3 linked regions of the Elephas maximus indicus genome follow. The protein of the gene in region 1 interacts with the protein of each later gene in a biochemical or structural test. Links are inferred from orthologs where the notes say so. Each region holds a gene or a part of one and is shown in the gene's direction. Other genes may lie near its edges.

Evidence for each region.
Region 2: the proteins of STAT1 (region 1) and MCM5 form a complex in vitro, tested with the Homo sapiens proteins (2 studies listed by BioGRID). The link is inferred for Elephas maximus indicus from reciprocal best matches to the Homo sapiens genes STAT1 and MCM5.
Region 3: of the proteins of STAT1 (region 1) and PRKCD, one has a biochemical effect on the other in vitro, tested with the Homo sapiens proteins (2 studies listed by BioGRID). The link is inferred for Elephas maximus indicus from reciprocal best matches to the Homo sapiens genes STAT1 and PRKCD.

Annotation. Positions count from the first base shown.
Region 1 is NC_064824.1:89,264,589-89,274,208, reverse strand, and holds the start of STAT1 (signal transducer and activator of transcription 1-alpha/beta), read left to right. Parts: upstream 1-5,687; 5' UTR 5,688-5,925; intron 5,926-9,620. UniProt on the Homo sapiens protein: Signal transducer and transcription activator that mediates cellular responses to interferons (IFNs), cytokine KITLG/SCF and other cytokines and other growth factors.
Region 2 is NC_064822.1:178,858,003-178,867,980, forward strand, and holds the start of MCM5 (DNA replication licensing factor MCM5), read left to right. Parts: upstream 1-5,749; 5' UTR 5,750-5,851; intron 5,852-6,076; 5' UTR 6,077-6,084; coding exon 6,085-6,251; intron 6,252-8,233; coding exon 8,234-8,360; intron 8,361-8,439; coding exon 8,440-8,568; intron 8,569-9,978. UniProt on the Homo sapiens protein: Acts as a component of the MCM2-7 complex (MCM complex) which is the replicative helicase essential for 'once per cell cycle' DNA replication initiation and elongation in eukaryotic cells.
Region 3 is NC_064838.1:57,354,453-57,364,637, forward strand, and holds the start of PRKCD (protein kinase C delta type), read left to right. Parts: upstream 1-5,805; 5' UTR 5,806-6,052; intron 6,053-9,351; 5' UTR 9,352-9,465; intron 9,466-10,185.

The DNA of each region.
Region 1 (9,620 bases):
AAATTTTCAAACTGCAACCGCGTAACCAGGACCTCTGAGTGCGCCCTAATCTAGGAATGCCTGGGGGTGCCCTCCCTGGCCCCAAAAGCACAGGACTTCCAAATGTGTTCATGAGTTGTTTTTCGTTGTAGTTATTGTGCACTACGAATGTAATATTGTTCATTATAGACAGCTTGGACAAAAATTATAGACTGTTATAGTCCACCCCCAGAAGCAAACACTGTTAACATGTAGAGTTTTTCCTCTCACTTCCCCTCTCTGCTTAGGTGTGTGTCTCCTTTGACGTATATTTCAGTATATTCTTTCAATATTAGGATAATACTGTCCATGTTTTCTATCCTGCATTTTCACTTAATTTTATACGTATTTTGCAATGTAATTAGTTTTTGAAAGCATAACTTTGACATTCAATGATATAAATTATGCTTCAGTCTGTCTCTTGGAAAAATAGGTTCGTTGTGATTTTTGCCGTTATAAATAAAGCTGCAATGAACATCCTTGTGCATCTTTCCCCCATATCTGGTGATTTCCTTATAGTAGATTTCTATAAGTCAGAGAATATCGTAAAAACGTCTTTAAAAGTGATTGTGTTTTCTACGTTATAATCGTCAATAAAATTCTGATCAATGTGCCCATTTTCATTTAATGAAAAGAATATGGCTTGGTTGCACGTGGCCATTTTCCTGAAAATACTCATAGCTTTCCTCGATATCCGGTCATGTACGTCCTACAATTCTATACCTCTGAATTTTAATAAGTTGCTATGTATGAAGTCTCCTACGACTTCAGTCCTTCTTAACTGGAAAGAAAATATATACACCAAGTCAAGGAAGTGGCTATACAAAATCCAAATCCTAAGAACTGGAAGAAATTTTAGAAGTCCTCTATTTACATCATATCACAGATTAACAAATTTGGTTTACACTGGTTTAGTGACATTCTCAGGGTTGCATGGTAGAGCTAACATTCGAAAAGGAGAAGGGATGAAGAGGTATTGACTGGCATTTACGCAAATTCCTGCTATTAGATATTTAGGTTACCAACATTACTACCAGCATTAGAAACATATGGCTAAAACACAATATGGTAGCTGGGGGTTAGGGAAAGTCTCTAAATATGTAACTACAGATTTGTTCATCAGACTTGTAGCTGCTGTATTGAAGCAATTGTGCTTTAGAATTCAGTAGTAAAATCTTTGCGTTCTCCCATAAAATCTGTATCAGTAATCTACTGCTATATAACACACCAAACTACCCTACTCAGTGGCTTAAAGCAACAATCATTTACTATTGCTTGTAAATTTTTTTTTTTTTTTTTTTTTTTTTGAGTCTAGAGCAGGCTGGCAGTTCTGTTCATCTGGGTCAGGCCCATCTGAGCTCACCCACACTCTCTCACATGTCTGAGGCCAGAGCTTTCAGATGACTGCAGTGACTCAGCTGAGGTCTGGGTGGTCTCTCCAACACGCTAGCTTGGCTTGTACTCACGAAAGCTGGGCAGCATTCCGACACATACCAGAGCATGTTAACATCTCTTGAGGCCTATGCTCGGAATGACACAATATCATGTCTGCTGCATAATATTGGTCACAGTAAGTCACTTGCCAGTCCTGAACTGATTCAACCCAAAAAAAAAAAAATCCCATTGCCATCGAGTCGATTTCTACTGATGGCTACTCCATGTGTTTGTTACAGAGTAGAATTGCTCCATAGGGTTTTCTTGGCTGTAATCTTCACAGAAGCAGATCACCAAGCCTTTCTTCTGCTGAGCCACTTGGGTGGGTTCAAACTGCTAACCTCTAGGTTAGGAGATAAGCACAAACCATTTGCTCCACCCAGGGACCTTTTAATCTAACTCCAGGCCTTTATATTTATTGTGTTGAATTTTATCCAACTGGTTTTGGCCCATCAGCATTCTAAACCGTTGAATAAACTGTTGCTGTCAAGTCAATTCCAACTCATAGCGACCCTATGGGACAGAGTTTCCAAGGAGCGCCTGGTGGATTCGAACTGCCAACTTTTTGGTTAGTAGCCACAGCACTTAACCACTACACCACCAGGGTTTCCAGCAGCATTCTAGCCTGTTTAAAAAAACTTGGAATTTAGATTCTGCCATCTATGAATTAGTCAGCTATTTCAGTGGCAATAAACAACCTCCTTATCTCAGTAGTTAAAGGCTACGGCTGCTAACCAAAAGGTCAGTAGTTCGAATCCAGCAGGTGCTCCTTGGAAACCCGATGAGGCAGTTTTACTCTGTCCTATAGGGTTTTTTTTTTTTTTTTTTTTTTTTATAGGGTTGCTATGAATCGGAAGTAACTTGACAGCAACGGGTTTGGTTTGGTTTGGTTTATCTCAGTGACTTACGACAACAACAAACATTTCTCACTCAAGGGTCTGTGGGTGGGCTGCTGCAGTACTGCTCCAGGCGGCAGGTTGGAGTCTGTTCCACACATCTCTGGTTCCTGGACCCAGGTGGAGGAAGCAGCGGCTACCTGAGGCATGCCATATCTTGGTGCAGGGAAGGATCACACAAGGACAAGTCAATTGCACAGAATAGTAAAAGCCTCTGACCAGACGGGGCATACGTCACATCTGTTCATATACAACAATATTAAATTTGCAAAAGATATAAATCTTAAAAAAAAAAAAAAAAACTAGCTAATACCGTTTGTACTCGGTTGTATTTTCAGTTTTTTTCTTTCCTTCTATACCCGTTGCCATGGTTCACTTTGGGTAGAGTATACCTCTACATAGGAGCCCTGTTGGAGAAGTGGTTAAGGGCTAGGCTACTAATGAAAAGGTTGGCAGTTTGAATCCACCAGGTGAGCTGCAGAGGGAGATGTGGCAGTCAGCTTCCGTAAAGGTTTGCAGCCTTGGCAATGCAACAGGGCAGTTCTACTCCGTGCTGTAGGGTCACTATGAGTCAGAATCAGCTCGACTGCAATGATTTTTTTGCGGGGGGGGAGTTTATACCTTCATGTGCACTGCCTCTGGTCTTGGCCACATGACTTGCTATGGTTCTTGTAAAAATAAATAGACACTTCAGAGAACCCACTGCTGTCAAGTCGATTCCAACTCATAGTGACCCAATAGGACAGAGCAGAACTACCCCATAGAGTGTCCAAGGAGCACCTGGTGGATTCAAACTGCCGACCTTCCTGTTAACAGCTGTAGCTCTTAACCACTACACCACCAGGGTCCCAAGTAGACACTTACATAGCGACCAGACTGACCACCACAGGGTGAGATGCTTCAGGAAGGAGAACATATTTGGGCTGGGTAAGACTTTGATAAGAGAGTAAGGGGCAGGATTTGTTATTTGGGGGAATAGTATATGCAAAGGGGTAGAAATGGGAAAATTAAAAGTGTGGGGGCAGAGGAAGGGATAGATGGGTTTAGTTAGGTAATAGCACTAGCAGGCAAAGCTTGTGTTTATCATAAACATGGTAGGGATTTCCTAAGAGTTTTTGAGAAAGGAATGACTTTATTAAAGCAACATTCTAGGGAATTTGATTCAGCATATACAGTGAAGAAGAAAGAGACAAGAAGAAGGTAGTCTAGTTGGAGTGTATGTATCATGGCATTCAGTTCTGAAGCGAGGAGGGCTTGTACAGTCAATGACAGAGGAACAAAGGAGGCTGAAGGCATAGGGAAGGTAGTGTTTTATAGTACCAGAAAAACATACTTTTAACATATTATCTACCTTTCCCAGGATCAGCTTTTCTCAGGGAATAAAACATTCCCCGGGTCCTTGCACAAGTGAGTAGGAGACTTCCAGTTACCTGTGAGCCCTTCTTAGTGGTCTGGCATCTCTTTGTACAGAAAGCTGGTTTCACTACTACTTTGGTAGCAGAGTCATTGCTATTACTAGTTCAGTACTTGCCATGTGGGGGTACTTGTGTGACAAGAAGATGGGTATATAGACGTGGAAATCGTAAAATACTATAATACATACCTATGTGCATGTTCCTGGGGAATTATTTAAATTCTGGAGAGGCCAACCTCTCTTATCTAAAGTTGCCCTATTATTCAAGGCTTGATTCAAATCCCATCTACTTGAAGCAACCAGTTGGTTTTATGGCATACGTTCCAGTAAGACTTAATCTAGTCTGACTTCATGATGCTATCCCAGGGAAGTATATTTAAGCTGAGATTTTTAACTGAGACTTAGAAGATGAATTAGCCAGCAAAAAACTTGAGGGAGGGGGTGTTGGCTCAAGGGACTTTCCAAATATAGAGAACTGTTGGTGAGAGGGCACCAAGTTTGGGGAAAAAGCTGGGCTTATTTGAAGTAAAAAAAGGCTGAAGTAAGTAAAGAAGGAGTGTTACAAGATGGGGAAAGGGATAGGGGAGCCAGGGCTTTGTAATCTGTGTTAAGAAATCTGTATTTTATAAGAAGAGCAAAGAAACACCATTGCTGGATTTTCAGGTTGACAAATGACATGTTCTACTTTGCAAATTATAAATAAATCACTCAAATCACTGTATGGAGAATCGATTAAAAGGAACTAAGCTGATGAGAGACAGTCACTTGGGAATGTACTGCAACAGTTCAAATAAGAGATGGGGGGTGGGTGGCAGAAGACAGGGAGAAAAGTAAATGATATTTGAGAAATATTTAAGGGGAAGAAGGAACAACGCTTGAGGACCAGGTTGGGGGGTGGGGGAGGTGAGAGAGAAAACAACGGAACCCATCTCTCCCAGGGTTCTGGCACTATCATCACTAGAAAAAGAGCAGATTTCAGGAGGAAAATGATGAGTTTAGTTCTGAACATCAGGCTGCAGAGCTTGTGGGACATCCTAGTGGAGAATCAAGGGGGCCTAGGGTGTGGAGCTCAGACGGGAGGTGGGGACAGGATACATTTAAGAGTCTTTCACATCTAGAAGGCAATTGAAGCTATGGGTAATGTCACCAGAGGACCGCCTGAGAAGTGTAGGTAAAGAAGCTGACCAAAGTCCACCCTGACTAAAACTTAAAACTAACATTTGGTAGTAAAGATGGAGTCAGCATTCTTTTTAGATAAAGAATGCCACAGCAGTAGGAAGAAGGATGTGTTGTAATTAGGCCCAAGAAAGCGTTTCAAGAATGAGTCAACTGTGCCAAATGTTTCTGAGAAGACAGGAAAACGTCCGTCCGCTGGATTTATCTACACGGAAGTCAGCTGCTGAGTTTCTAGAATGGTAACATCACCAACTTTGTTCTTTACCTCGGCTTCTCGGGTATGGGGCCAATGCAGGGCCAACTTTCCCGTTGCCCGGAGTCCTATCGGACTCATAGCGACCCTACAGGACAGAGGAGAATTGCCCCATAGGGTTTCCAAGGCTGTAACCTTTTCAAAAGCAGACTGCCACACCCTTCTCCTACAGAACAGCTGATGGGTTCAAACCTCCAACTTTTCGGTTGGCAGCAGAGCGTTTGAACCACTGCGCCGCCAGGGCGCCTTTAGGTCAAGTTTGGGCCGCTGTAAACACAGCACTTCCTTTTAGTTGTTCTCTGAAATATGCAAATAGCATTCAGTCGGCGAAACTGCAAAAAAGTTGAAAGTTAGGTCATTAAGTCCAGGCCCCGCTAACGATTACGGAAAGACGCGACGGAAGGCGGGTGCGGGGAGGGGAAAGGGAGCGCCCCGCAGAGGGAGGTGGTGACGCCCGCGGAACAGCCGCGTCTGATTGGCCGAGCGCGGCAGCCGCTCGGTGACTGGCGGAGGCGGAAGGAGGCAGTGCTGTGGCCACGGCCTTTTCTCCAGCCTGGTACTTTCGTTTTCCTGCGCAGAGGCTGCCGAGAGGGCTACCTGCGCTAGGGGACGCGACGGTTCGACCCCAGACCTAGAAGAGGCGGTTCGGAGCTCTCGGAGAGGCAGCACCTACGCGTCTCCGCCGCTACATCCTCAAAAACCCCTGTCCACCTCTTCCGGGCTTGGCTCGCAGAGTGAGTGGCGCAAGGTGCCGGGTGCCTGGGGGCGGGACGTCCCGGAACGCCGGCCATCGGGACTGTGCAGCGGGACGTTTTCTGCTTTTTCGCCGCAAGTTTTCCTATTCCATGTACCACCCTCGGTAGCTCAGACGCTTGCACCCTGTGCATGCAAACCCAACAGTCTTGGCACCTAACGCGCTGAGTGTAGCTGCTGCTTTGGTTGGATCCTCAGCCTCTCGTGCCGTGCCAGGCACAAGGTGGCAGTCAAGGAAATGTTCGTGGAAAAGAATGAACGAGCATATGGCTTGTAAATGGTTTCTGGGAATTTAAAAAGTGATATGTAGCTCCTGCAAACCCCGAAGAGTATAATTACTCTTGAAAAAAAATTCCGAGCAATACCGAAGCATTTTAGGATATATGTATAGGTGTGTGGCTGATTGTGCTTTGGATGTTGTATGTAGAAGTTGGGGGGAGGTTGTTTTTATGAGACAGAAATAAGTCTTAAGATTCCAGCACAATCTAGTATGCAACCATTGCTTAATGAGGAACTTGTTGGGCCATAATATGGTCTGCCGTTTTCATCCCAGTTCAGTGAGAATTAGATATCAGTTTAGCCAGCTATTATGGAACACATACTGTGCAGGGTGCTGTCCTAGGTTCAGAGGATGTGAAGAAAAATAAGGCATGGTCCTTGCAGCTCTGGAGCTTACATCACATAGGGGAGACATCGTAGAGCGTTACAAGGACCCCTGGGACTGATGCTCTAATAGAGGTTCAGATACAGTGAGGCACACAAGTCAAAGAAAGCTTAAAGATTACAGCCAAGCAAACCCTACGGGACAGTTCTGCTCTGTCACATGGGATCACTACGAGTCGGAATCAGCTCAGTGGCACCCAACAACAGCAGCAAGTTTCAGACAGCTTTAGGGAAGAATAGGCATTTGCACCTAGCCTCAATCCTGGTAGGATTTGCAGAGGCAGAAATTTGTGGGGAGGCTGTTTTCAGGTGCGTGTGTTGGCGGGAGCTAAGCAGAAATGTTGAGCACAGTCAAAAAACAGTAGATGATGTGGCAGCTGTGGGGTAGGGTTGCTTTGTATATGGATGAGAATGAGGCGGGCCAGAAGTTGGCCTGGGAATGTAGAAGCCTGTAGCCTTCTTAAGCAGGAGGTAATGTAGTCCATCAGGCGGGCAGTGGTAGACTGGAGTTTGAACCAGGTGACTGAGAGATGGTGATGCAACTCCCTGGGAAGTAACAGGTTTTGTGAGAAGACAAGATTGATTTTAGATTTGTTAATGTTTATTTATCGATCTCATGCTCTGTGCTATGTTCTGTGTGTATACTAGCCCACGGAGCCTTAATAAGCATCATGCTGATAGGGGAGAGAGCAACCTGAGGTCATCCAGCTAATATGAGGAGTTGCAGTCCCAGCTGGTTGAAACTCAGGCTGGAGTATTTGTTTTGGGTGTGTGGTGATGCAGTGGTTAAAGAGCTATGGCTGCTAACCAAAAGGTCAGAAGTTCCAATCCACCAGTCACTCCTTGGAAACCCTATAGGGCGGTTTTGTTCTGTCCTGTAGGGTTCGTATGTGTCCAAACCAACTCCACGACAATGGGTTTTATTAGACACCTAGCAGGAAGGTCCTATAGGGTCACTATGAGCCGGAATCAATTCGACGGCAGTGGTTTCTTTTAGCAGGAAGAGAGAGAGATTCCGAGACTTCTGCGTAGGTAAAATATATTTTAAGTGAGAAATGAAATTGCTACAGCAGGTTGCCACAGAGGTGGGCTCCGGTCTGTTCTAGTGGCATTGGTGATGGCAGCCAGGTTTGTAATCTTGCCAGTCAGTCCCCTTCCTTTGGAAGGAGGTTTGTGGAGTTGGCATGAAGTTGAGCCTGCAGGAGTACACACACTCTCCCATATCCTTGAAAATTCAGACCCTCCCTTAGAGGCCTGGCAGGATGAGATCCACTTATATCCGCTCCGAATGTTCCTAACTGTGGGCTGATAAAAATCCTGAGTTATGCTATGGTAATGGAAGGTTCTTCATTTTCATATGGATTTTAAGACTTCCTTAAATCGGATTGGAAACCCTGGTGGCGTAGTGGTTAAGTGCTACGGCTGCTAACCAAAAGGTCGGCAGTTCGAATCCACCATCCACTCCTTGGAAACTGTATCGGGCAGTTCTACTCTGCCCTGTAGGGTTGTTATGAGTCGGATCAACTCGATGGCAGTGGGTTTGGGTTGGTTTTTTAAATCAGATATTGTCTTATTTTTAAACTTCTGAGCTGCTGTGCAAAAACTGACTTACATTTAACCCAAGAGATAAATACTGTCTTATTCTTTCAGATTATTTTAAGTGTTGCTTTAATCTTTACAAATCATTTCTAAGATTGAAGATTTGTATCCAGATGTATTATATACGGTAGACAAAGAAGAAAAATATATCGCTTTAAAAAGATGTATAATCAAAAATGATTAATTTTACCATTGTCATTGTTAGGTGCTGTCGAGTCGATTCAGATTCATAGTGACCCTATAGGACAAAGTAAAACTGCCCAATAGGGTTTCCAAGGAGTGGCTGGTGGATTTGAACTGCCGACCTTTTGGTTAGCAGCTGAGCCCTTAACCACCATGCCGTAAGATACCAGTGTCAAATCGTTTGAGTAAACGACAAATGTACTGTAATTGGTTGTTGTGAGTTGCTGTTGAGTGGGCTCGTTGAGTGGGCTCCAGCTCTTGTGGACCTTGTGTATAACAAGGAAACGTTGCCCAGTCCTGTATCATCTCCATGATCTTTGTTATGTTTGAGCCCATTGTTGAGGCTGTCGTGACATTCCATTTCATTGAGGGTTTTCCTAGTTTTCAGTGACCCTCTACCAAACATGATGTTCCTCTATAGCAAATGATCTTTCCTGATGATATGTCCAACATAAGCAAGACAAAGCCTCACCACCCTCTCTTCTAGGGAACATTCCGATTGTGTTTCTTCTAAGACTGCTTAGTTCTTCTGGCAGTCCGTGTTATGTTCAGTATTCTTTGCCAGCACCACAGTTCAAATGCATCAGTTCTTCTTCTGTCTTCTTTGTTTCATTATCCAGCTTTTGCATGCATATGAGGCAATTCAAAAGGTGACAGCTTAGGGCAGGGTGCACCTTAGTCCTCAGTGACATCTTTGCTTTTTAGAATTTTAAATAGGTCCTATGCAGCAGATTGACCCAATGCAATACGTCGTCTGATTTCTTGACTGCTGCTTTCACTGATGTTGATTGTTGATCCAAGTATGAAATCCTTGACAACTTCGGTTTTCCCTCATTTTATTATTTGATGTTGTTTATTGGTCCCCTAGGAGCTCTGGTGGTGCAGCGGTTAGTTAAAGCGCTTGACCGCTAACTTAAAGGTCAGCAGTTCGAAACCACCAGTGGCTCTGCAAGAGAAAGATGTGGCAGTCTGCTTCCATAGAGCTTTACAGCCTTGGAAACCCTATGGGGTTGCTATGAGTAGGAATCGACTCCACGGCAGTGGGTTTGGGTTTTTTTTGTTTGTTTATTGTTCCAGTTGTGAGGTAATTTGTAGAGACTGGTTTTTGGAGAGTTCGTGCAGTTTGTCCTAAACCAAATCTACTGATTAAAAAATGTTTTCTGTTGATTTTTTTTGATGCAAGATCCTTTTTAAAGGCATATTTATTGCGCATCTACTATATGTGTCCTAC
Region 2 (9,978 bases), on another chromosome or scaffold:
TTCTTGTCGACGTGGCCGTGACCGCTTTCCCTGTGGGTCATGGCGATTTTTATATAAACGTGTGAAGATGTTGTGTCTTGTGTTTCTGTCTTGTTTTTGTTGGAACCACCTTTTGTTGCTGGCTCCGCCTGAACTGCCGTGTTCCGTTATGTTTTTATAGCTGGGTTGGGGAGGGTATTTTGGGGAGCGGGTGGGTTGGGAGGGAGGTGTTTAACAGCACTGTGGCCTTGGTCTCTAACTTGTATGTGAAACAATAAACTACATTGCCTGATAGCAACTTGAAGTGTTTTTCTTGGGCTCCGTTGGGAACTGACCTTTCCTCCCTTGTTTCTTGAATGCCTGGTGGGGAGCCACCAGGGTGGTAGGAGCTGGTTTCCAATATTGTACCCCATTTTGAGCATAGGGAGCAGTTTTAGGCAGTTGTTGGGTGGTGAATCATTGTGTTGAACCCTCCTTGGTGCAAGACTTGCCTTTACTGACGATGGAGCTGCCCTGTTATCTGGGGTAATATGTATGAGTTCTGTGCACTGAATCTTCAGAACTGGAGAGAGATCCTGGCTACAAATCTCTGCTCCCCCACTTTGTAGCTCTGACTGCGAGGTTAGTTCTTTAGCTTCTCTGGGGCTCAGCTTTATCACCTATAACGTGAATACAGTGATATCTACCTCATTATTCTTGTCTTGGGGTTCAGTCCCTGGAGAAAGGCATTCATGCTTGGTAAAGTAGAGGATCAGGGAGAAAGAGGAAGACCTTCAACAAGGTGGATTGACACAGTGGTTGCAAAAATAGGCTCAAGCATAACAATTGTGAGGATGATACAGGACCAGGCAGTGTTCTGTTCTGTTGTGCATAGGAGTCAGCTCCATGGCACCTAACGACAAGCCTGTCTTGAGAAGCAAATGGGATGCCTGGGAAGTGTCATCACTATGAAGTCAGCTTCTGTTGTGAAAGAGGGGAGACCAGTGTTTTGTGATTCTTGCTGAGTGATACTTTCTTGCCCTGTGCGAGTCACTTCACTTTTGTCTCCTCTAATCTCAAGGAAACCTGTGAGGAGCCATTACCACTATCAGGAAGAATTTAAAGCAGGTCTGACCAGCCCTCAGGAGTCCCTGGGTGGTGCAAACAGTTGAGTGCTCAGCTGCTAACCGAAAGGTTGGAGTCCACCCAGAGGTGCCTCAGAAGAAAGGCCTGAAAGATATACTTCGGAAAAGTCGCCCATGGAAAACCATGGAGCAGTTCTTCTCTGACACACGGGGGGGCACCATGAGTCAGAACTGACTGGACGGCGACTGGCTGGTTGGTAGTTGCAGCTGGAAAACAAGCCCTTCTGGCTGCCTTACTCCTCAACAAACAGCCTCCACACCCAGGAAACTGACACCTGGTCACTGAAGGTGCACTGGATGGAGCAGGGACAAGGTCCGTACAGGGCCTGTACACGAGGACTGGAGTCAGGGGACTTTAGTCCAGTGGCACCACTAGGGCTGGTGTCAGCCAGTGCAGCAGAACCCACCCCTCCATCCAGAATGGTCCCGCTCTGCCCCGCTCCCTGCTGCTCTGGGTAGCCCCTCCCCTCTGCCATCTGCCAAGGCAGGACCCTCTTCTCCACCCAATGGCAGGCACGGTGGCCAGGCCTCCTGTACCCTGACCGGCTGGTGGTGGGGGGAGGTATGAGAAGGAGGTAAGGGTAATGGGGGTGATGATGAGGTACCACACTGGTAACACCAACCCTAGAGACTGGTGGGTGATGGGGGGAAGGGTAGGTAATGAAGAGATTGCACTGGGAGACAGGTGACACCAGCCCTAGTGATGCCACTGCCTTCGTGGCCCCTCCCCCACCACCACTGGCCAGCCCACTGCCACTGCCGCTGCCACTGCCATGGACCCTGGGGTCATTTTGGTGTCAACCCCTCTGACAGCCCACACACCCACCCCCATGCCCCCCAGTGACACCACTTCTTTAGTACCTAGCCCTGACTGTGTCACTAGTCTGTGACTTTGGACAAGTCACTTCCAGTCTCATTTTGTTCAGTGGTAACATAGGAACAACACACCCAGTTCCTATAGCTGGTGGGAGGGTCAGTGGTGTCCAAACTCCAGCCTGTGCATGGTGGCATCAGAATCACCTGGGGACCCTCAACCACGGAATCCAGGCCCTGCCCTGAGAGGCTCCGATTCTGCAGAGCTGGAGTGGGACTCCGGAATCTCTGTTTATGTAAACTTCCCTGGGAGATTCCAATGTGCCACCAGGTCCAGGTGCCACTGTTGAGATAGTGCTTAGCTGCTAACGGAAGGGTTGGCTGTTTGAACTCATCCAGTGACTCCACAGGAGAACGGCCTGGCAATCTGCTCCTGTATAAAGATTACAGTGTGGAAAACCCTATGAGGCAGCTCTACTCTGTCACAAGGTGTCGCCACGAGGGCACCTAACAACAACATGCAAAGGTTAGGCATTCAAATTGCAGCTATAGCGCTTGTTTCCTGGACTTAGTTTCCTCAAAGGGGCATAGATAGTTTGTAGTGGAAAAGGAAGGAGGGAAGAAAGGCGTGGGGGGCGGGGAGTAGAGAAGGAAAGAATGATGAAGGAAGGGAACCCACCTTGAATTCTAATAGCAAAAGGGCTGAATTGGGGCCCTGGTAGCGCAGTGGTCAAACATTTGGCCGCTAACCAAAAGGTCAGCAGTTCACATCCTCCAGCCACTCCTTGGAGACCCTGTCGGGCAGTTCTACTCTGTTCTATAGGGTCGTTATGAGTTGGAATTGACTCAGTGGCAACAGGTTTGGTTTTTGGTATCCTCACTATGGAAAATTAAGTACCTATTACAAACAGTGAGTTAAATCTATGTCTACTGACCTGGAGGAACATCCATAAAATAATGAGAAAGGCAAACTCCAGATTAATTTAGTATCATTTTTTTATTAAAATCCTCCCATACATGTAAATACACATTTGTGTGAATGGGGCAAAAGGAGTGGAGGGCTCTGTTCCAGTTGTTCACGTTGAGAGGTGGGACTGGAGAGGAGTGGGCGGGAGATGAGGGAGATGGTGCACTTCAGTTTAATAAGAATAACAGCAAGCAGACCCTACGCACCAGGCACCGTTTGAATTCACTATCACTGCCTCCGTTTTCCAATCATTAGAACAGGGCATGTTTGGTAAAGTACAGGGTCAGTGAAAATGAGGGAGATACTCCATGAGGTGGATTAACACGATAGCCACAACAATGGACTCAAACATATATACGAACGATCATGAAGGTGGCACGGGACCTGGAACTGTTTTGTGCTGTTATACATAGCTCACCATGAATTGGAGCTGATTCAAAGGCAACTAACAACGACAATCTCCATTTTACAGATGAAGAAACAAACACCAAGAGTTCACAGTAACTTGTTCAAGGTCGCATAACTCAAAGGGGCCAGAGTTGACATATGAGCCTGTAATTAAAGATCTTAGTACTATTTAAGGAGGTAATACAATAAAGTGGTTGTGGGAAGGGTTGGTGGGTAAAGAAGCATTTCTAATTCATAAGGATTTCCAGGCACAAAACCAGCTCCAAGAGGGCATCGTTCAGTTACATAGATTTCCACGGACCCCAGAGAAGTCATGGTTCTGAGGCTAGTCCTAGAAGCACTCAGGTTGTGTGTGGGCAGGGCCCCAGAATGAGTTCTCTAAATCTTGGGGCCAAACAAACTCTGCCCCTCGGTGCTGGCTGGGTCTCTGACACAGCTTGGGGCAGATCCTGTTAGCAGGGGCATGCTCACGCATCCTTTCTGACAAATGGGCAAGATAAGGCAGCCCCCCAAGATGCACAGGAGATGGCAGGACCGGGTTGACAGGCTCAGCCCAGACACTGGCCGCTTGGTCACACCTCTTCAAGCTTTGGATTTGACTTTTTCTTCAGTTTGTCAGCAACAGGCAGGGGCAGACACAAAGCTGTCACTCAACAGTTTGTAAAGCTTAGGCTGTGGCAGTGGCAAGCACAGAGGCAAGAGGTTGGAAGAATGGGGTTCTAATTCTGGGTTTGAACACCAATGCATTTTCGCATTTTTAGCTGATCTCTCTGTGCTTTATCCCTATTTGCATAATTCTTCATGGGTTTTTTTTTTTTTGGCTGTAATGTTTAAGGAGGCAGATCTCCAGGTCTTTCCTCTCCAGTGCTTCAGGGTGGGTTCAAATTGCCAGCCTTTTGGTTAGTGTTCTTGTTGTTGGGTGCCGTTGAGTGGATTTCGTCAATTCTGACTCATAATGACCCCATGTGAGTAGAGTACAACTGTTCCATAGGGCTTTCTAGGCTGCAATATTTATGGAAACAGATCGCCAGGTCTTTCTTTCATAGAGCGGCTGGATGGGTTCTAATGGCCAACCTGTTAGCAGCCAAGCCCTCAGCCATTGTGTCACCTGGGCTCCTTTTTGGTTAATAGCTGAGGGCAAACTTTGCCACCCAGGGACTTTATGTGTACAAGGAGGGAGTTGAGATACAGCAGAGGTCACAGCTCACAAGCCTTTGGGGGCCAGACCTATAACCTGTGGCAGTTGAGTCGATTCCGATTCATTTTGACCCTATAAGACAGACAAGAATTGCCTCATTGGGTTTCCAAGGCTGGTAATCTTTCTGGAAGCAGACTGCCGCATCTCCCTGCTGATTGGCTGGTGGGTTCGAACTGCCAGCCTTTTGGTTAGCAGTCAAGTGTTTAAACCACTATGTCACCAGGGCTCCTTGGGGGCCAGATAGGAAAACTTAAGGGGAGAATTAGGCTGAGTGGGGACTGGGTGAATTGGAGAACCCATGTTCATCTAAAGGGTAGGAGCCACTCAGTTCCAGCTCATGTTGTTACTTGAGAATGCAAGCCCAGGTGTTGCCCAAATCTTCCAATTTTTCAAGTTAGGTTGGAAATCACGTTGTGAATTTTCTCAAATGTTAAACAACATCAAATAATTTAAGAATCTTCAGCTTTTGGAGGCAGCGTGTTAGGGTGGAAAGCACACGAAGCAGGGATGCAGGCGACTGCGTTCCAATGCTGCCTCTCCCATCCACCGGCCACAGGGCCGTGGGCTCCTCAGAACCACAGAGCGCTGGATCGCACTCTGGCAAGGGTTCGCCTCTCTGGGCCTGAGTCTGTCATTACAAAATGGGGCAATTTGACCCTCTAATTTCTAAGCTACTTCTTTCACCCCACGGTTCCGAAAGGGGTCATTTTCTTATTGTTGCATGCCATTAAGTTGATTCCCACTCATAGTGACCCCATGTGACAGAGAAGAACTGCCCTATATGGTTTTCTTAGCTATAATCTTTACAGGAGCGGGTCGCCAGACCTTTCTCCCGCAGTGCCACTTGGGTGGGTTACAGCCGCCAAATTTTCAGTTAGCAGTTCAGTGATTTACCATTGTGCCACCAGGGCTTTTTAAAAATCTCAGGAAAAGTACACGAAACAGCTTTCAGCACTTCTACCGGCAGCCCGCACTCATCCCGTCCCCTGAAAACTGGCCCGTCCGCCATCTTTGCACCCGCCCCACCCGCGCTGCCACCACTACCGCGGCCTCTTCCTTCCGAGTCAGAAGTTTCGCGCCAAATCAATTGCTCCTCCCACAGAAAATGGAGCCCGGAAGAAGGCTAGAACTGACGTCATATGCCCCACAGCCAATCCTCTCCGGCGGGAGGCGGGGCTGGGAGGTCCGGGGTTTGATCACGGGTCGCACAGTGGCCCAATCGCTGGCCGCAGGGCTCCGGCGAACCAATAAGGACTCAGCGGCCGCGGCGTCTGAGCGCGCCGTCCCGCTTTTCCCGCGAAACCCGGCGGGGAGCAAGGAGGTTCCTGTCTCCCGGAGCCCGTGGAGCTCGGGGAGGGAGAGGTGAGGCCGGTGGGACTAGGCAGCCGACCCCACGGAGGTCCCCTGGCATCTGCACTTTGGGTCTCAGTGGAGGTGGCCTCCGGGAGGGGAACTGGGGCCACCCTCACCCCCACTCATTGCCGGGACATCCCTGCTTCTGGTTCCGAGCAGAGGACCCTGGCGTCGGAGGGGAGAAAATGCCGCGCACTGCTCCCAGCCCGCCTTAGCTCTTTATTCCCCTGCCAGGTGCAGTCATGTCGGGCTTCGACGACCCTGGCATTTTCTACAGCGACAGCTTCGGGGGGGACCCCGGGGCCGATGAGGGGCAGGCCCGCAAGTCTCAGCTCCAGAAGCGCTTCAGGGAGTTCCTGCGACAGTACCGAGTGGGCACCGACCGCACCGGCCTCACCTTCAAATACAGGTGGGCACTGAGAGGGACTGGAGCAGAGATGCACCTTCAGCCCCTCTGCTGTAGAGCTGGGGGTGGGGCAGACCATGTTTGGCCACACTTCACTTAGAGCCCATTAGTGTCCTAGACAGCCTGAGCAGAGGTTGGAAACAGGACCAGAGAGCCGAATCACCCGGGTCACAGCGCGTTTTCCACTCCCCTGGCCCCCAGAGCATATGGTTTTATCTGTTTTATAACTGAAGTTAATTTTGGGGTGTGTCGAATGGGCCACTAACAACCCAGCTAGGGCTGCTTGGACAGAGACAGGTCTTGTTCCTTGTTCAAGTGCTTCTTATGTTCTTCCAGGTAGTGTCTGTGATACCTTGTAAGCTCAAGTTGTCCATGGGTGTAAATGGTGAAGATGACAGCTAGGGTTCCCTTCACTCATTCATGCATTCATTCATTCAGTCTTGAAACTTACAGTAAGTCTCTGGGTTATGAACGTCTGACTGAGAATGTCTGACTCAGGACAACTGTACTGGGCCTTTAATGTTACATCACTTTGCTCTCAGTTTAAAACGACTGAACCAGCCCCTCCTCAATGAATTCTTTATCACAATCACCTTCATTTGCTGCACGTGCAGTTTTTAATTCCTTGAAAGGACTTCAAGCCTTTTCTTGCACTAAAGTAAGGCTAAGTAATAACCACGCAGAGGACCCAGAGGACCTAGGCCTCAGGGGGAAGGGAATGCCATGTGCCATTTCCAGCCTGTCCTAGCTCTGAGTTCTGACTTAACTGCAAATTTCTAAAGACACACTTAGGAATGAATCTCACTGGTAACCCAGATCTCTTATATAACCCGGGAACTGCTTGTGTATTGATTGAGCACCTGCTGTGTGCTGGGTGCTGTCCCAGGTGCTGGGCCACAGCATGGAACAAGCTGGACAATGGACAAATCCCTGCCTTTCATTCATTGTAAAAGCCAATGGTGTCTTGTTGAATTCTGGTAGGCCAAGCTACTATCTGGAGACCATAAAATGCAGAGAACTTGAGTTTGTTAAAGTCAGGCCCTGGATTGAACCCGACCAGTTCTTAACTGAGTGACTTGCAAGTGACTGTCTCTCTGGGCCTCAGTTTCTTAATCAGTAAAGTGGGTATAGCCATTCCTGCCTCCATTTATAGCCAGACCAGCTAACACTGATCACCTGCAACGTGTAGGGTACAGTGCTAAGCACTGAGATACAAAAATGGAAAGACACTGCTTGCCCTGAAGAGGCTACTAAGTCAGCAAGGTGAGGCTTAGAGACCCACAAATAAATTACAAGGTGATAATTGCCTCAGTGGAAGAGTGGAAGGCAGAGGAAGGAGCTGAAGTCTGACTTGACAGTTGAGCTGAGGGAGGAGTTTCGGGAGTGGAAGGCATTCCAGGGAGGAGTGATTGCATGGATGGCCTGTTATACAAGGAAGGGTGGCCTGTTACACAAGGGACTTTCAGAGACCGGCTGACGGTTTGATATGGCTACTGGACAAAGTAGAAGAGAATGGGTCCTGAGATGAGGCTGGGGAGCAGGCTGTGCATAGGTCAGTGGTCCCCAAAATGTGTTCTTGGAACAGTTCTGTCTGATGCTCTGTAAAAAGAGTGTCTAGTGGTTGACAAGACAGTCAAGGTCCCTGCTGCCAGGGAGTCTCCAAGTTTGAGGTTAGTTTCCAGGAGTGAGTTAAAGTTTCCAAGGAGTCATGCAGTGAAAGTTTGCAGTGAGTGTCTGCCAAGCTGACCTGTGCGGAACCCCGTCTTCGAGCATTTAAACGTCCTTTATCTTGCGGGCGCTCCCGTGGAACTTTCTTTGGAGGACTCCTCTGTCAGCACCGGGGAGCCTCTGCAGCACCTTGTAGTGAGCTGTTTGCTTGGCTTGGGAAGGGGAGGGCGCGGTGGTGGCCGCGCTGCAGGAGATGTAGATGTGCAGGCACCCCTCAGCCAGCGTTGGTTTCCCTCCTGCGCACCCGCCCGCTATAGGGATGAGCTCAAGCGGCATTACAACCTGGGCGAGTACTGGATTGAAGTGGAGATGGAGGATCTGGCCAGCTTTGATGAGGACCTAGCTGACTACTTGTACAAGCAGCCAGCCGAGCACTTGCAACTGGTGAGTGGGCCCCCATCCCTGAGCCTTCCAGGGCTGGCCCTGCCCCATCACAACAGCCTGTCCCCTTCCTCTTCTCTAGTTAGAGGAAGCTGCCAAGGAGGTGGCTGATGAGGTGACCCGGCCCCGGCCCACCGGCGAGGAGGTGCTCCAGGACATCCAGGTCATGCTTAGGTCGGACGCCAGCCCGTTCAGCATTCGCAGCCTGAAGGTGGGTCCACCTAGGGGCCGGTCTGAGGGTGGTGGCAGCCAGTGCATGGTGGAGAGGGGCAGGCCTGGGCACCAGCTGTGTGAGCCTGCCAAGTCACTCCACCTTTTTGAGCTGGTTTCCTCCTCTGTAAAACCAACTCACGGGACAAATGTTTACCGAGCCCCTCCTGTGGGCCAGGCATTGTGTTAGGTCCTGGAGAAACAGTGACAGACTGAATGGACACACTCCCGTCCTTGAGGAGCTTACATCCAGTGGGGGAGACGGAGCATGCCAGTCAACATTATACGTGATAGAAGGTTACGTGGTTGTAAACTCAAGGAAAGAAATCAAGAGGGTGATGAGACTTCAAGGGACAGCGTAGCAGGGGCAGGCATCTAGGGACCATGGTTTCGGGGGACATCTAGGTCAATTGGCATAACAAAGTTTATTAAAATGTTCTGCATCCCAGTTTGGTGAGTGGTGCTTGGGGTCTTAAAACTAGCAAGTGGCCACCTCAGATGCATCGGTTGGTCCCAACCCACCTGGAGCATGAAGGAGAATGAAGAACACTGAAGACATAAGGAAAACATTAGCCCAAGAAACAGAAAGGGCTATATAAACCAGAGACCCCATCAGCCGGAGACCAGAAGAACTAGATGGTGCCCTGCTATCACCAATGACCACCCTGACAGGGAATGCAACAGAGGGTTCCTGACAGAAGAGGAAAAAAGTGGGGTGCAGAACTCAAAGTCTGATAAAAGGACCAGACTTAATGGTCTGACTGAGACTGGAAGAACCCCAGAAGACATGGCCCCAGGACTCTCCATTAACCCAGAACTAAAACCATTCCTGAAGTCAGCTCTTCAGACAAAGGTTAGACAGGACTATAAGACATAAAATGATACTGGTGAGGAATGTGCTTCTTAGCTCAAGTAGACACTTTAGACTAAGTGGGCAGCTCCTGTCTGGAGGTGAGATGAGAAGGCAGAGGGGAACAGGAGCTGGTTGAATGGACGCAGGAAATCTGAGGTGGAAAGGGGAGTGTGCTGTCACATTATAGGGATAGCAACTAGGGTCACATAACAATGTGTGTATAAATTTTTGTATGAGAGACTAAAGCTGTGAACTCTCACTTAAAGCACAATTAAAAAAAAGAAAAAGGGTGTTGAGAGAAAGCGTGGAGGCCTCTCTGGAAAAGATAGGGAATGCTCCTTTGAGGAGGTGACACCTGACATGATGTGAAGTCCTTAAAAGCAAGGATCATGCCTGAGGCTCCTGTGAACCCCGTGTTGAGGGCAGCCTGGCACTGAACTGGGTCCACTGGGTGGACGCTCAGCAAACAGGTTTTCAGCTGAAAGGAAGAGCTGTGGCCCTCCCTGCAGCTCTGTGCCCCCCATCTCCTGGCCCAGGACACTTCCCAGCAGGTTTCAG
Region 3 (10,185 bases), on another chromosome or scaffold:
CTGGAAGGCTCCATATGGAGGAGGACCATTTACCTGGGGCCCGGTAAGAATGCTACCAGCTCGATTAGAAGTACATTTCAGGGCAAAGCACAGCCTGGGCTTGATGTGGCAGTGTGTGGGAGGATGGTGGGTCAACTGGCAGGGGTATCCTGGTGCCCCACAGCCTCTCACTACCCAAGGAGCACCTGGGGCGGAGGCTGCTGGCTGTGTGCTCAGGCTCTGCTGGTCCAACTAGCCCAACCACTTCTCTCCAGGCACTGCCCACTGCCAAGAGTAGTTGGCAAACTGTGAGTGAAGTCTGGTCAGGGGCCTAGGATCCCTCCATTCCAGTGCCAGAACAAAAGAATTAAGCGGTCCAGATCCCCAGGCTGCCCTGCTCAGTTTCCGAATGCCCCATAGCCACGTGCTCCAGAAAGCCTGCCCTGATCGCATCCTGCCAACAGAACAATTTCTAAGATGCAATGACAGTGTGGAGGGTAGGTGTGCCTGGGCAGCATATGCACGAGAGAGAGAGAGAAATTATGGGTGCAATTATAGATTTCTACTTCTGTAAACCTGTCTTTAATTTTCCTTATTTGCTGTAATGGAACTGGAAATATATTACTTTTTCATCAGAACAGCTTCCTCTCATCTCCTATCCACAATTCCTTGTTCTCGAGGTCTTTTCAGAGGCTCCAAGTTGAGGAACAGGCTAGGTCGAGGTGGTAAATGATCCTTGCATCGGTTGCGGCATCCATAAAATGGGTGTGCTCGGGTCTTCCTCACTTTCTTGGATCGAACCAGTGTCAGGGGAAGCTGCCGCCTGGCGCCCGAGCCCAGGTGGCGGCACCTCTCCAACCGCCAGGTGGCTGCCGGGCCCCGGAATAGAGCCGGGTCGTGTATAGGCTGGCCTGCGTCAGCGGCTGGGAGGGCGCCTCCCCCCCGGATTGGAAAGGCTTCCCTGGGGCTGGGCGGGGCGGGGCGGGGCCCCGGCGAGGGCGGGAACGGGACCTGTCTGTACCGGTGCACGGAAGCCGAGCCTGCCCGGCCGTGCGCGCGGCGGCCCCCGGGAGTGCGCGGCTGTGCGGGTGTGGATGGGGGTCTGTGGGCGGCGCGGCGGACTCTGGTGGGCGGGCGGTCCTACCCATCCTCTCCACCTTGGGGGCCGCCATCCAGCCCAAGGATACCTCCACCCTCCAGCTTCCCCCGGGCCAAGCTGGGCTCCGTGAGCCATCCTCTGCGGGGGAGAATAAGGCATAGGCAGGTGACGGGGCTAGTGAGGCCCGGGGGCTGTGGTAACTGAGCCCTCTGGACACCCCAGGTGCCTGCGCCTAGTGTGAGGCGTCAGAGCAGGGTGAATGCGGAGCGGGAGAGGGACAGGGGAGGTGAGCAGGTGAATGGGGTAGAAGAGAGGTCTGTGTCCAGGGGATAGCCGTGGCTCCTGACTGCCCCAAACACCAGTGCCAACCCTCCTCCCAGCCCTTTGTAGGGGGCAGGTGGGCAAAGGGGCCAGGAGGGGTTCCCAGAGTAGAGCTGGGGCTGGGCTGGCCTGCCAGCGCTTCAGGAAAGCCCTGTGCCCCGCACTTTTGGAAAGCACCTTCCCCTTGTCTACGTAGGCATTGCTCAGGTTTCACACAAACACACATTTACTGAGGAAGGAACCTGGAGACCTTTAGCCCAGTCTCACCAACCCTTTATTTGGGAGTTAACAACAACTTGGATTATTGAGTTTTGCTACTAGTGCCTCAGGAGCTTGGTCTCTTCAATCTTCTCGACACCCCCATGAGGATATTACTATAATCTCCACTGGACAGATGGAGAATTGGACGCACAGCTAAAGCACAGGTCCACGGCAGAGCCAGGATGTGAATGTGGGCCCTCCAGCCCCCTGACCTGGCACTTCCCTGCCATGTGGCACTGTCTCCAAGGCCACTGCTTTTCCCACCTGCCCTTGCCCTCCCACCCTGTGCCCCAGGCTGATACCCCTGTTAATGATCTTCATGGCAGCCCAAGGGTTGGCCACAGGTTGGACCATGTCCCAAGTGCCCTCCCCACCGTCACTACTCCCAACCGGACCCTTCCAGGCTCTGACATCTCCAGCAGTTGCACAGGTGCACCATCCTGGCTGGCCTGGGCCTCCTGCTCCAGAAACATGAACCCACTCTCCTTTTGGCCAGCCAGTGCTCTAGGTATGATGGGAATGCCTCTGGCAGCTGAAGCATCAGGGAGGGGATAGGGACAAACAGAGACACAGTGAGCGAGAGGCAGAGAGGGGCCCAGTGAGGAAGACGCCAGGACAAGGACAAAATCCTGGCTGAGAGTAAGTAGGTGGGGCACCCATCCTGCCCACAGCTGGGTGGACCCTAGGGACAGAGGGAGGTCCAGGCCCTTTCTAGGCTGCTTGGCTGAATCCTGGGGGACACCCAGGGTTCATGCCTCTCAGTGAGACAGCAGCAGCAGGAGTCAGACTGACCTTCTTCTGGACAGCCCAGGTGGGCTCCAAGGGTGGGAGTCTGGACTCTGCCCAGTGCTACCCCGATCCACCCATTTCCCTGGCTGCAAACCTGGATGAGGAGGAAGGGAAAATACCACTTCTTGGTGCTTGCTTTGGGCCCAGCCCTGTTCAGGGATTTACACCCTACGTCACTCAAGGCTATCGAGAGCTCTTCCACAAATGAGAGCCTGTGGCTTGGCACAATGACAATACCCAGTAACTCTGGACAGTGTGGACTGAGCCCCCACTGGCGCCCACCCTGGGTAAAGCACTGCGCACATCACCTCACTTAATCCTTACTAAGCCCCTGAGATGGGCTTTTCATCAGCCTCCTTTCATAGGTGACAACTCAGGCTCCGAGAGGTATGGTTGCCCGCCTAGGGTCACACGGTTGGCAAGTGGCGCAGCCAAGACTTCCTCCTAGGCTTCATTGGGCCCTTCTTAGGTCAATGCCAGGCAGGTCACAGGGGCACCTGGATTGTCCCCCCCCACCGCCCACTTCCATCTCTTTGGCACCCAGGAGCAATTCCAGGGTATAGGGTGGCTCCAGCCAACCTTGACCCAGGCTCCCTGGACCCCATGCAAGCTGGTTCCCCCTAGGTCCAGGGCCATCTCTGAAGGGAAGCCCACCTGCATCCCTCCTGTGTCCTGGCCACAGCATGGCCTGCACAGCCTCAGCTCCTCTGCTCCCCCTCTGAATGCATCGCACTTCTCCTTGGAGTCTCCAGAGGAGAAAGTCGCTGAGGTGCTCGCAGAGCCTGAGCTCTTGAGTCTGCATAATCCTGAGGGCCAGAAATGTGCTTCCTGGGGTCTAACTTAAATCATTCTTGCTCTTGCAACACCAGCCCAACTCTAAGGAACGGCTATCAACAAGGGGTGCTTTTACCCTCCTGGGGACATTTGGCAATATTTGGAAACATTTCTCATTGTGGCAACTTGGGGAATTGCTACTGGAATCTAGTGGGTAGAGGCCAGGAATACCCCTAAATTTCCTAGAGTGCACAGGATGGCCCCCACAACAAATAATTATTTGTCCCAAAGGTCAGTAATGCCGAGATTCAGAACCTCTGATTAAAGCATGGGCTTTGGAGACAGGCAGACCTCAGTTTCAATCCTACTGGCTGTGCACCCTTAGGCAAATGGCTTCACCTCTTTCTGAGCCTCAGTTTGCTCATCACTAAAACTGGCACTAATAGTGGCTCTCACCTCACAAGGTCCTGAGAACTGATCAGACAGCACACATCCCGCACCCTGCTCAGGGCCTGCGTCTTGGGAAGCTCCTGTCAGTGACAGCCATTGTTTTCTTTTCCTTCTTTTCCGTTTTCCAAGGCGAACAGCAGGAAGCAAAGGTCTGGTGGCTGGACCTGGAACTCCCCAGGGGTCAGCCCTCCCCCAGCAGTGCCTGGCACAGTGTGAGCCTACTGTTGGTGTTGAAGGAGAAGCCAAGTTGTTTGTTGTGGACCTAGAGGGAGGAGCCAGAAAGGAAACCTGATCCCAGATGGGCAAAGGTCACCTGAAGCTCACCTAGCTCATTCTTGCCTCCAGCCCAACCCCAGGGAAGCCATGGGGTGGGGGTTGGGGGGGCAACCAGGACACAAAACACCCTAATATATATGGCCCCTTTGCTCAAGGATAGGGCACAGATTCAAAGTAGACATCAGGGAGTTGTGGCATATGAGTGGATACAACCAAGACAAGTAGAGATATGAGGGGTGGGGGTGAGAATGACATTTGGGCCCAGGGAACCGCATGTGCAAAGGCCTGGTGGTGAGAAGGAGCAAGGCTATTTCCCAAATGGTAGTCCAGTGTGGCCAGAGGTGTCCACCTTGGTAGAAAGGGCCCACCCTGATGGGACGATGGACAGGCGTCAGGGCTGGGAACCCGGACATCATCTGGCTTTCAAACTGGGTCCTCCCTCTTCCTGGGGTGTAGGGCACCAGCCTGTGCTCCCTCTCAGCTGCCACATCACCCCCCACCTTGGGAAGAGTAATTGTTGTTTTTCTGTCTCCAGGCCAGACCCCCTCCTTTCCTGATTACCACCTCACTTGCAAACAGGATTTAGGATCTTCCTCTCTCTTAGTCTCTCCATCCCCAGGGGGTTTCACTAGCCACCCCCCCCCCCCCCGCACCATGCCCATCACAGTCCTGCAGCCCAGCCCCTCTTCTCTACTCATCTGCCCTGATCTCAACCCAGGGTCCTCCCACCTTAACAGGCAGCCCCTCTGTCCCCAACCCAGCCCCTCCTCTCTCCTGCAGCCCCTCTGCCCCATCTGTCCCCCAAGAAGCCCACTTGATCCTGTCATTCCACCTCATGTAACCACCTTTACGACCTTTCCACTTCTTCAGAAGACCAAAGTCCTAGCCATGGCCCCCTTGCTCAACTCAGGCCTTCTCAGGGATTGCCCCCACTTCCATCCCTTTGGCCTCAGCCGGGAAAAGCTGTTCAGATCCTTCTCATCTCCTCTAGGTTGTCCCCCAAGGGACCTGGGACCTGGAACCCTCTTCTCTGCCTGTTGGAAAGTGATATTTCTTTAGATGAATACAGGGCTAACAGCTTTGTGAGCTCTGCCTGCAGGGTAATGGACTTACTGGGGTCCACTCGGTCCCCAGGCCTTGGGCCCAGAGGACACTCAGTGAAGGGATAAACGAGTAAATGAATGAATGAAGGCCCACAACGATGTTCGGTGTTTGGGAAGGAAACTCGGGCATCTGCGGGGGCGACAGGGAGCTTCCTAACGTAAAGGCAGGAGAGTGATGGACTGGGGGGCCGGTCAGGGTAGGGGACGCTCCCAGAACCCCTTGGCTAGCGACTGGGACCGGGTAGAGCCTGCTGCCCTGGAGTCTTCCCGGCTCCATCTCCGGGGGCAGGCCTGGCGGCGGGCACGGAGCCCGGTCGCGTCCGCTCTCCAGCCGACAGGAAGAGACGGATCTAGGTCTGGCAAGGCCGGCCGGTTGGCCGACGGGGAGTCCCGGGCGCGGGCGCGGGCGCGGGCGCGGGCGCGAGGAGCCGGGGAACCCCTGCCGCTGCCTCCCGGGCCCCAGTGTGCTGGAGTGAAGGGGCTCCCGTTTGGGGCCTGAGCGCCCTCCTTTGTAAAAACAGGACCCTCTCTGAGGGCTGGTGCGCACACCGAAGACGGACGGAGGGTGAAGTGTGCTGGGGAAGGCAGAGATGGCCTGAGACTCTGTGACCCGCACCGAGGTAGGCGGAGACAGCGGACCCCAGGCTCCGAGCTGGAGGGGGCAGGCCTCCGAGGGGCGGGCCCTGGTGGGGGCGGTCCCTGGTGGGCGGGGTCAGAGAGGGGGCGGGGCCGGTCGGCACCTGGGTGAGGTCGCGCCGCCCCGCCCCCTTGCACTTCCGTGTGCGGCGGCGCCGGAGCCGGAGGCAGCGATTGCCGGGAGCCCCTGAGCGACCCCCGGCGTCCGCCCACCGCGTCGAGACCCGGGTCGTGTCTCATCTGCCGCCGGGCCCGCTCGGGTCAGGGCCCGCACCGACCTCCGACCCTCGCGCGCGCCTCAGAGCCGCGCGGGGAGCCAGACCCCAGCCGCCGAGACCCCTGGCGCCTGGCCCCGCGCCCGGAGGTGAGTGAGGACTGGGCCCCGGCGCGGGATCGGGGCTACCCGGAGGGCGCGCCATCCCTCCCTTCCTCCCCCGCCCCCCCGCCTCCGGTTCCCCTTTCCGAAATCAAGAAACTGAGCCGTAGGCGGCGAAAGTCCCGCCGCGCCGAGATCCGCTGGTGCCTGCGTCCCTCCATACGACGGCGGGAGCCGAGGCCCCCTAGTCCTCGGGCTCCCGGCTCCTCTCCCCGACTGGGCGTCCCTAGCCCCTCCGAGTGTCCCTCCCGAATCTCTCTGGGACCCTCTGTCCGTCGGTCTGTCCCCACTCCCTCTGTGTCCCCCTCTCCGCATCTCCCCAGTCCTGTCTGTCCTTCGTCCCCCGTGTGCCCCATCGCCCCCCTCCCCGCCCCTTGGTCCTGTGCTCCGGGAGCCGCACCCCCAGATCACGCCCGCCGCCCCCTCCGCGGCCCCTGCCTGTCCTGCCGCCTCTCATTTTTCACCGCGGGGCCGAACCAAGCCAGGCCGCCCGCCGGGCCTCGCCTCCAGCTCCGGTGTCCCTGCCCGGCCCGCGCGGCGCCTCCTCCTCGCTCTCTCTTCTTTCAGTCACTCTTTCTTTCCATCTATCTCTGGGCTGGGCTTGGCTCTAGCCTCCACCCCACCTCTCTGCCCTTCTGCCCCCTTCAACCCTCTCCCTTGGGGGCACTTGCCTGGTCCGTCGGTCCCCGGCCCCTGCCCTGCCCAGGCGCCATCTCCGACGGGGACCCAGCCAGGTGAGGGGCGGGGGCAGGGGAGGCGGGAGCGTCTTCCCGGTCCGGAGGGAGGCAGGAGATTTGCACTGTCAGAGCAGCCCCTCTTGCTCAGCTCCCCGGCTTGGGGAAGGGGAGAGCCCCACTGAGCCTCCCACTTAAACCTGGGGCTTTTGCGTGAGCAGGGAGGGGTCCCTTCTCTTCTGGCCCCCATCCTGTGCGCATGGACCTTGTCTCCCTTGCTGAGTCGCCTGTGTCTGGGCGAGTGGGTATGTTGTGTGTCTAGATCTGCTTGTGTGTTTTTTGTCACTGTTTCTGGGACTTGCCTGTGTGTGTGTCCTTTCTCACGTGTGGGACTTGCCTGCGGGTATGTGTGTGTCTGGGTGTGTGTCCTGAGGCTCTGTGTGAGTCCTTCCAACTATGTGTGAACCATGTCTTGGTGTGTTCTTTGTTACTAGACTCCCCCTATGTGTTGGATTAAGTATGTGAGTGTTCCTGTGTGTCTCAAGGGTCCTGCGTTGCACACTGGGTGTGTCATGGTGACCCACCAACCATTTGACCTGTTAATCGAGGTAGCCCCCGATATCGGGGTGCCAGTCTACCAGGCTAATATGTGTGTATGAATATGTGCACACACGCATGTAGTTCTGTTCCTCTGTGACTGAGCCACCGTGATCAGGCTGACCTGGTCACCAAGGGAGGGGACTGTTCCCTTGGGTTTCCTTCTTCCTTCTGTGGACTGAGGTGGGGCGTGGCAGACAGACCGGCAAAGGGCAGCTCTGTGTGCGTGTGTGTGTGTGTGTGTGTGTGTGTGATGTTGAGGTGTTTGGTCAGCCACTACCTGGCTGTGGGGTGGTGTAAAGGATCCGGTGTGTGACGGGGCTGTGGCTGGGGGTGAGTCCGTGGCGGTGTGGGGTTACGATGTGAGCGGATGACTGGTGGGAGACTCACAGTCTGACTGTATGAAACTGCAAGTGCGTGTGCTCGGGGAGTGACCGTGATTGTGGGGAACTGAGAGTGCCTGGGCATGGGTGTCGGTGGCATTAGGGGGTGTGACAAGGTGTGTGGTGCCTGTGCCCTGGGTGACAGTGCCAGGGGCGGGGTGAGAACCCAATCATGAGCGTGTGGTGGACTGCCAGGGTGTGAGTGTGCACACAGCAGGCCCCAAGCCAGGCCCTGGCTCCTGGGTAGTCTGGGAAGGCCCAGGCCCCATACTTTGCCATCCTCTGCTCTCCCAAGTTGACACACACCGGGGGAAAGTCTTGGGGTTTGTAGTGTTGTAACTAAGACCTCGGGCTCTGGAACCAGAAAAGACTTAGGCTCCAATACTTGCTGGGCATCTTAAGAGCAAAAGATTCAGCTAGGCCTCTCTAAGGCTCAGTTTCTTTATGTGCAGAATGGAGAAGGTCGTCCTGAGGACTGGCGGTCCCGTGTCAGGGGTCCTTTATCACCGCATTGGCCTTTAATGAATGTTCAGCACATATTAAGTCTTATTTAGCCACCGCCTCTCCAGCTGTATGACTCCCATTCTCCTGGGAGTGGGGCTAATGGAAGCCCAGACAGTCACCAACCCAATTTCCTGCCTGGGATGTGTCCATTGATGTTATCTTCCCACCTCCTTGACCAGGCTGCTTGTGGGAGGAAGCAGAGGCTGACAGAGCCCCTAGCACTCAGCCCTGTTCGGCCCCACCCCTAGTTTCAGCAGCAGCGAAGGGGTGGGGGGTCATTCCGACCTGTGACTGCAGGGTACTGACACCGTTTAGCTGGCACAGCTAATTGAAGTTTAAATTGAAATTAGAAATAATTTAAAGTACAGACAAAAAGATAAAGCCTGAGGATACATTAGCCCCTAGGGAGTGCTGATGGGGTCTCTAGCTGGGAGAGGGACTCACATCTGGGGAGGGGCATCTTTTGTAGGTGCCTGGCCGGCAGAAAAAGGAGACCAGGGCCTCTTTGCTGCCTTTGCCATCCATTCCTTTCAGGATAATTCTGGGCCTTAGTTTCCTCAGCTGTATAATGGGTACATCAATAATTGAGAATATCCAGAGCTACAAGGTACCAAACAAGGAATGAAAAAGTGTTACTATTCATTTGATACTCCCAATATGAGTCTAGCAGAGGACTGGGCATGTCTCATCATTGGAGCCTCAGAACCACCCAGGGAAATGTGTACCAGCATTCTTCCCATTTTGAAGATGAGGAAAACTGAGGCTCAGAGGAGTTGCTCGAGACCACAGAGTAGGGGTACCTGATTGCTTCCTAGGCCCCCCAAAGCCTGCAGGGTCAGGAATGGCTCTCTTGTGTATGCCCTATGGCTTCCCCACCAGGCTGGAAACACTCGGAGGGCAGGAACACAGTGTTCCACCCCCAGCGTGGAATGGACATATTACCGTTGCCCAGGAAATGTTGGGCCCACCACCCCATTTCACAGAAGAGGAAGCCGAGTCCAGAGAGGCCTGAGGTTTCAGAGCCAGGCAAGGATGAGCTGGGCCTATGTCAGCCATGCTGGGGCTGACCGATGGGGAAAGTCTGTTTGGCTGCACCTTCTGGCTCAGCTGTTTTCTCCTGTCCCTGCAGGTCTGCTGGGAACTGGCCCCGGGTGAGGGCAGCGGGCCTGCTTCTCTGGTGGTGGTTGCGTGGCGGCGGCAGCACAAGCAAGGACTAGGCTCAAGCAGGAGCTGGAAGCCACAGGTAACACTAGGTCCTTTTAGGCGGATGGACAGATACGCAGTGTTCAGGGGCAGCCTTCCTCCTTGGGCTCCTCCCCTCCCACCATAGGGTGGGAGTAGTGGGGTGCATGAAGAGTCCTTGCACTGGGTGTGGGAACTGGGGTCCCAGAGGAGGCAGTGGCTTGCCCTGCCCACCGGGGGTTCCCTGGCCAGACATTGGCTTCTGGCCTGGGGAAGGCTTCGGTCTTGGAGCTTGGAGGCCTGGGACCCATCAGTGGTTCTTGGGGCAAGGAGGGGTGACGCTTTGCTGGACAGTTAGAGAGAAGTGAGCATGTGAGCCTAGGGTTAGGAGTGGATGTATCTGCGCTTCTGTGGCCCCTCGTATCTGCCTCAGGCTGTCCATATCATCACACAAGGAAACAGATTCGCCCTGGCCCCCACAAAGAGTCGGAGACTGAACTGAAAATGGAATTGGGTCTTCCAGTCTTGGCACAACCGAGCTCTGTTCCCCAGTCCCCTCTCCCTCCAGCCTCTCTGGGGCCCGAAGAGGGACTCTATATCCCTCTCCCTGCCCTCCAGATTCAGGGGTGAGCTGGGCAGAGCCTCTAAGGAATGTTAGGGGAGGCTGTAGTCTCCCCAAGTCCCCTTGTGAAGTTAGAAGCTCCTCCCTTTGCAAATAGCCTCGCCTCCTTCAACCTCCGTTGCAATGAAAATAGCCCTGGAAGTTACCCACTGAGTGCCT